2 linked regions of the Rattus norvegicus genome follow. Each later gene encodes a partner of the first gene's protein in a complex. Links are inferred from orthologs where the notes say so. Each region holds a gene or a part of one and is shown on either strand. Other genes may lie near its edges.

Region 1 (3,817 bases):
AATGTCCTTACTTGGGGCTGGGGAGATGACCTGGTGGGTAATTATTACTTGCTAGAACTGGTAAAGCTGCATGCAGTAGGGCATGTGTTTGTAATCCTAGCATTCCCCAACCAGGAGATAAGAGGCACACGTAGGAGAATTGCAGGGAGTTGACAGACCGGCTAGCCTGGTGCATGCAGTGTTGACTAAGATGAGAATCAACACCTAAAGTTGTCCTCTGACCTCCACATGTGCATCATGACACTTGCACGTCTCCCTCATAAATGACCTTGAATCTCCATCGCTTTTCAAGAGTGCTTTGCTGAATATGGTGATTTTGGTTGGGGGTTATGTATTCTCAGGGTTTGAAATGTATCATTCTGTGCTCTCTTGGCTTTAAGGTTGCTGATGACAGATAAGTTATTTTGATGTGTTTGCCTTTGTAGGTGAATTGGCATTTGAAGAAGTGTTGATTAAGCCAGTCTGAATGTTTTGAAGGAGTGTTAAGGGTAAAACATCTTGTGTTCTGCATATCCCCTCTGTTTTCCCACATTTTAACAGCAGTTTTGTTTTTCCTTTTCTAGACTGACAGATCCCATTCCCACCACAGAGACTTCAATTGCACCCCGCCAGAGGCCTAAAGCTGGGCAGACTCAGCCAAACCCCGGAATCCTTCCCATTCAGCCAGCCCTGACTCCTCGTAAGAGGGCCACTGTTCAGCCCCTACCTCAGGCTACAGGTCAGTAACTAGTTTGCAGCTTGTTCCAGTGCTTGATGGTGGTAGTGTCGGAAGGCACAGCCTAAAGAATCATGCCCTGAGCTGCTTGTGAATGTCTATGGCCAGTGGCTGCACAAGGAGGAACTTCTTTCTGTACTCAGATGAGTCTCAAGACCCCTGAAGCCTGTTGTGTGCATTTATTTTCTTACTGGACATCTGGTCCATCCACTCCACCTTATTTACCTTACGTATTTCTCCTTGCTTTTAAAGAAACCAGACTTACTTATTTTTTGTAACCACAGAAGAATATTATTTTATTAATGCTGTGTTTATTAGTACACATCATCCTTTGTGTTCTAGCATTCTGTTATAACAAGAGGAGCGAGCTTTGTTTTATAAAGGGGATTGATCCAAAATAACAAGTCACAGACCACATCTATCACATGTCTTACCAGGAACAATTTCTGATAAATTCAGTGGCCATCTATATAGAGCCAGGCATTCAGATGCTAGTTGTATAAGCTACTCATAAAATATCAAAGAATGCTTTTGCCGCGGTAGACAGGCTGGTACACAGACTGTTTAGTGTCAAATGTTGGCTGTGTGAGGGGAACTAGAGGTGCTGACTGCAGGGCTGGGTGACTGGGTGAGATGGGGGATGAGGGAAACCCTGTGCAAGAGGCAGGTACTGAAGTCTGCAGTTCACCTGGCTTTTGGCAAGAGTGGAAAGCTGTTCCAAGTAGAGCATCACAGATGGCAAAATGGTGAGGAACAGGCAAAGCTTGGGGCAGTCTGCCTACTTCTGCCATTTCTTGTGTAGCAAATCACAAAGTCTTTTTTCATAAGGGTTGTCTATGTAGCCTGTCTGTCCTCAAACTCCACCTTCCTCTCCCAAGTGCTGGGATTAAAGGTGTGCACCACCACTGCCAGGCTTCAGAAAGCCATTTTTGTCTGGTAGAGTTTTGTGCCCTGACATGGAGTTTTTCATTACAGGACCCAGCAATCAGCCTAGCCTTCTAGCCAGTGTTTCCCAGCCTAAAGCCCAAGCCACGCCCAGTCAACCTCTTCAGTCATCTCAACCCAAGCAGCCACAAGCTCCACCCACCCCACAGCAGACGCCTGCTCCCCAGACCCAGGGTCTGCCCACCCAGGCCCAGGCTACTCCTCAGCACCAGCAGCAGCTCCTCCTCAAGCAGCAGCAGCAGCAGCAACAGCAGCAGCAGCAGCAACAGCCACAGCAGCCAACAGCACCACCACAGCCATCAGGCACCTTTTACCAGCAGCAGCAGCCCCAGCAGCAGCAGGCTCAGACTCAGCAGGTGAGGAGCTCTAGATGACCATTGCTTTGTACAGTGGAGTATTAGTATTGAAAGGCCTGCTAGGTGCAGGTGTCTTCCTTGGGATGTGCTGGGATGGCCAAGAGCCACTGATCAATGCATCGTCACTTCTCACAGATGTAGAAACTGAAGCATCTAGGTGTAGTTAATAACTCTCAGAGCTTTCAGTGTTGTCTTCAAGCCTTGGGAATTTACCCCAACTCAGCACTGGTACTGATGGAACTACTTTCTAAAGAGATAGACACAGGGAGAAATAACAATGATGTCCTGGTAACACACAGAATCCAGTAGTTTCAAGTTGTTTCGGTTGTTGCAGAGTTTAAGTTTGCTTGGTTGGATCAGGAGTCAAACAAGGTTCATGTACTCTATTTAGTTGGGATATATTAATTTCCATTTTTTACATATTTATTTAACTTTGAACATATATATTTTATAATGATTGATTTCTTTTTTAAAAGTAGTGTGTGTGTGTGTGTGTGTACATACATATATATTTGGGCAAATACACCTGTGAACACTCAAAAGGCAAGAGGAGCAATGGATCGACTCTAAATGGAATTTAGAATTACAGACATTTGCAGGACACCCGGATTGTTACATGTGTGCTGGGATCTGAACTCCAGCAAGCACCCCTATCCACAGAGCCAACTCTCTAGCCACAGGGAGAGAGATCGATAGTCTTTACCTCCTTTTATCTCCTTTGCCATTTTTATTTATTTAAAGAAAGTGAATTCCTTGTTCTTGGAAACTCTTCTTATTATGAACTTGACTTGGTTACTCTTTGTCATTTGGTATATTCCACTGTGTGTGTGTGTGTGTGTGTGTGTGTGTGTGTGCGCGCGCGCTCGCGAGAGAGAGAGAGAGCCCATGCACTATGGTGTGCATCTAAAGGTCAAAGGACAACTTTCAGGAGTCAGTTCTCTTTGTCTACCGTGTGGGCTCTGGGGCTAGAACGCAGGTTGTCAGACTTGGCCACAAATGCCCTGCGTTGCTGAGCTCTGTCAGCAGACTTAAACTGGGCTTTCCGGAGACATGCTCAGCGTCAGTTCAGTCTGGAGTTCCCTGCTCTTCCTGTTCATTCTGATGGGTGGCCAGTGCTGTCTTTCACCATCAGTGTGCTTAGCTATCGTCTGTTTAATTTGGTTTTTGCTTGTTTGTTTGTTGGTTTTTAGTTTTCCTCTTTAGTTTACCAATTATTGCTATTTCCCCAAGTCCTTAAACCTACTTGGGTAGCAAAATCATACTCTCTCAAGTGGGCCTGGGTACTAAACTCACCTTGTCAGCCTTCTTGGTGGCAGGTGCCTTTGCCCACTGAGCCGTCCTACCAGCCTATGCAGAGTTGTTTCTGTCGTCTTAGTGTAGTTACCCTGAGGTCCTGCTTGTACAGAAAAGGGTGAGAAAGATGTTAGGTCTTTTCCTTGTTCACCAGTGTTCATTCAGAGGTAAGAGTGTTTTGCATTGTATTATGTAAGTTTATGGATTTATACATGTCACCATTTTTAAACATACTCAGATTCTCCCTAATTTTAGTCAAATTGGCTTCTGGTTCTCTGGGATGTAACTCACGATTAATGATTTCTCTGCCATTGAGAGCAATGACTGTCCATGATCATTCTGCTCTTTTTTTTTTTTTTTTTTTTTTTTTTTTTTTTTTGGTTCTTTTTTTCGGAGCTGGGGACCGAACCCAGGGCCTTGCGCTTCCTAGGTAAGCGCTCTACCACTGAGCTAAATCCCCAGCCCCGATCATTCTGCTCTTAACTTAGAGTCCTCCATTTCTCTAAAG
Region 2 (3,817 bases), on another chromosome or scaffold:
TTGAGACAAACATTTCCAACTTCATTATGAACATTTAAGAAGATTAGCATTCCTTAGGAAAAATATTATGCTTGGATCTCCAATCCTTTATAGATATAAGTTCTACCCAAAACGTAGCTTAAAGGCACAAATTGTAGTAACAGATACCAAGTGCTTATAAGCACAAGAATGTTCACATTCAGATGTTACTGCTCTGCTTTCTAAAGCAGCAACCTTAAAAGTAAGTGTGAAATCCTTTGCTACTTCACTGAATAGGAGAGTGATCCTGGCTTAGATTGCTCCCTGGTAAAGTTATTCTTAATAATTTCGGTTCTAAGCACCTGTCAATCCCGTTTTCTCATCCCAGTGCCCAGCGCTTCCTTTTCCTTTGCACATCTGCAGTGACCTTTCTTATCTTTTACTCTTCATTCAGCTATTGCTTCCACAATGCATATTCCGAAATATGAAACGTGCTTTCCCTTACTCTGCCTCTGTTAACTACCATTAACTGCATTCCCACTGTTGAGTTTTTATCTTACTTTGGACTGAAATTACGAGTGTGGTCCTAGAAACGGGACTTTGCACAGGGATGCAGCTCAGGAAGCTTGTGTCCGAGGCTGGCTCCACACCGCTTGCATTTTCCTTCACTCTGCTCTGGTTCTCACCTTCCCCTCAGCCCCTTAGTTAGGGCAGGTTTGGCTCTGCTCCAGGCTGTCCACCAGGAAGCCCCCAGAACCTCCAATAAAATACGCCATGGGTTGTCAGTAGTAAAGTTGGCTGTAAACTGCTTACCGTTCTCAGAATACCCTGTGTTTTGCAGTGACTTATTTCTTCTGAAGAGAGACTTGGGTTTGTTTAGTTGACTTAGATTGTGAGTTTTAGCAGCTTTGTAAGACACTCTACGTGAGCCAAATCATAGACGTCTGCCTAGCCTATGGTGTTTAATACACTTTAAAGGGAATCATGACATAAAACTAATGCACTGCCTGCAGAGGGGGATTACAATCAAATTTTAGTCTTTTTTCCTTAACCAGTTCTTAGCAGTGGTCCCATCTCAGTAGATGGCTGCACAGCCCACTGTCCAGAGGCCTAGAATTTCTCTCTTTCTCTGTTCTTCCAAAACCCAATCTAACAAGTAGCTTCCGGTGGGTGTTGACAATCGTCTCCATCCATCTCCAGTGTCACCGCCACGCCCAGCCTGCTCTGTGCTTGGACTTCCCAGTAGCAGCTGGGGAGAAATCAGGGCACCCTCAACAATGCCAGTCAGATTGTGTTATGTCCTGTAAAGGATTTCTATAAGAAGGGCACTATTCTCCTTGCTAGAACCTGCTTTGTGGGCTTTTATCTGCTGCCCTGTACATCTTGACCTGAGATCTAACCCACCTTTATTTCTGAACATGGCCGAGACTTTATTTCTCCTAGGTAAGCGCTCTACCACTGAGCTAAATCCCCAGCCCCTGCTCCAGCACCTTCTTACAGTTTCTTCTAACTGATCTCAGTATGATTCTTCAAGTTTCATCATGACTGCTAGATCTCCAGAACCTTCCTGTATAATGTAGTGTAGGCTACCCATTCTCTATCACAGCACTTCTTCCTTCGTTTGTTTGTCAGTCGTCCTTATCCCAGTCTTAACAAAGTCCCCTGAGATGAGCATCCACACCTGTCCTATAGACGCTGAACCTCCGTGGGGCTGGAGCTCTGCCCAGGAGAGTCACTGGATGTGAAGTCAACACTTGGTGCTGAAGCATGTTAGCATAGCACCGCACGTTATAGAATCTCTCCCCTCCAACTTCAGCTATATTGACAGGACTGACGGCCAAAAGCTGGATCATAGGTCAGCACAACAGATGAAATGTCATAAAAGAGGATGAAAATGTGGAAAAGTGTGGGAAAGAAAAACCGTGCATCTCAGGTGTTCTTATTTAATAATAAAGAAAGGACAAGGACCGTCTGCAGAAATTGTCCTGTCTCCCATCAGTGAGGAACTCCCAACCAAGCTGCCTCACTCCCGGGGATAATGCATTCCTCACATCCACCTCAGTCTTAACCTCTGTTAACTTCCATCCTAACCACTGTCTGCTGTGACCCGCAGTTCCAAAGCCTCGCCATGTTTAAATTGCATCTCTCTCCTTACTTGACGCAGACTATTATGCACTTTTTGGAACAATATGTCGCGGGTGTGAATTCCCCATAGAGGCTGGTGACATGTTCCTGGAAGCTCTGGGCTCCACCTGGCATGACACTTGCTTTGTGTGCTCCGTAAGTAAACTGTACTGCCCTGGTCAAAGCTTAGTGCTTGATACCCCAGGGTGGGGGAGTATGGGGATGGGGGTGGGGCTCACAGAGGCAAAGGTGAGGGATGAGGGAGAACTCCGTTAACCTGGAGAGGGAGGGCAACACTTGGGATGTAGATAAATAAGATAATTAATTTTAAAAAAGCTTAGTGCTTAATGGGAGTAACAGCACTTTGGGTTTTTCCATTCCTCAAAGCTAAGGAACAGTGGTTTTTGATGTTCTTAAAAGTTGGATTTGAAATTATTTGGCATATAATAGGATTTTACCCTCTAATGCATTCTTGACTCTAAGGAGAAGATACTTTTTCTTTTTTTAATATGAGTCATTTTCTTAAATTCTTTTATTAAACAGCTCAAGGGGTTTTTTTTTTTTTGATACATTAGATATTTCTTAAATGGAAAAGAAATTATAAAAAACTAGAGAACCAGCAAGATGGTTCAATTTTCCTCCTGACTGATAGAGGTAGCTCATGGATTCTTTTCCTTTTCTTTTTGAAACTATGAACATGGAAGATATTACCTACTTCACTTGTCTTTTTTTAGTGCTTTGGGATTTGGATTGATTTATTTTTATGTGTTTGTATGTATGTGTGTTTGTGTACATGTGTGTGTTCATATGTTTACATGTTTGTGGAGACTGAAGGACAACCTCAAGTGTCACTCTGACAACACTGGCCACCTTCTTTGAAGCCAAGTTTCTCATGGGCTAGAGCTTCTGGCGAGAGATTCCCCAGTTCCCTCTCCTTCCCTCTTGGGATTACAAGCAAGCCCGCCATTTGTAATGGTTTCTCGGGGTCAAACTCAAGGGCTTTACTGACTGAGCTAGCCCCACAGCTTTTTGTAGGGACAGGGTCTCTGTGTTCCCTGACTGATATAGAACTTGATAGATAGATGACGTTAGTCTTGAACTCAGACAGATCTGCCTGCCTCTGCCTCCAGAGATCTGGAATGGAAGGTCTGCATCCCTATACCTAGTGTTCTGACGTTCTTAATGATTAGGATAGATCAGATTAACGTTGGCATGAGGTACTTTCTGTCATTTAGAAGCTAATATTCAGTAGAGCTGTTCCATGACAGTATTTGATTTCTGTTAGCGCTGTTAGATTTAATCATATCTAACACTGTTTTGATACCTGGTGCATAAAAGAATTAGGTAAAGGTGAAATCAAATGATTTCTTCAACCATTACCTTTGAGCTCATCCATATTTTTATTTCATCGTCTTTTAGACTTCATAAAGTTTATAAAGAGCAGCTTCTACATAGTTTCCTTCTCAGGAAGATCTTATGAGCATTGTCAGCTTGCAAGGCAGCAGAAAGAACATGGAGGTGAAAGTGTGGGTAGCAGGATCTTAAAGCCACTCACCAGGCAGATGCTGCCTGCCTAAGACTTTCACGGTAGACTCAAGTTAAATCAGTTCCTTCTTGAATGGATAGTTTGTCCAGGAAGTAAATAAAAACCAGCCTGCTGGGGCTGGAGAGGTGGCTCAGTGACCTCTGAGTCAGGCTCAGAACACTGACTGCTCTTGCAGAGGATCCAAGATTG

Evidence for each region.
Region 2: the proteins of Aak1 (region 1) and Pdlim5 are in contact, whole or in part, in a crystal structure (PDB 9F6S), measured with the Homo sapiens proteins. The link is inferred for Rattus norvegicus from reciprocal best matches to the Homo sapiens genes AAK1 and PDLIM5. Residues at the interface, in NP_055726.4 of Homo sapiens: Asp956, Leu958, Ile959, Asp960, Leu961; in NP_006448.5 of Homo sapiens: Ala12, Pro13, Trp14, Gly15, Phe16, Arg17, Leu18, Phe24, Gln67, Ile70, Lys71.

What each region holds. Positions count from the first base shown.
Region 1 is NC_086022.1:120,959,292-120,963,108, forward strand, and holds part of Aak1 (AP2-associated protein kinase 1), read left to right. Parts: intron 1-563; coding exon 564-718; intron 719-1,690; coding exon 1,691-2,016; intron 2,017-3,309; exon of another isoform or gene 3,310-3,817.
Region 2 is NC_086020.1:233,629,230-233,633,046, reverse strand, and holds part of Pdlim5 (PDZ and LIM domain protein 5), read left to right. Parts: intron 1-2,122; coding exon 2,123-2,238; intron 2,239-3,817. UniProt on the Homo sapiens protein: May play an important role in the heart development by scaffolding PKC to the Z-disk region. May play a role in the regulation of cardiomyocyte expansion. Isoforms lacking the LIM domains may negatively modulate the scaffolding activity of isoform 1.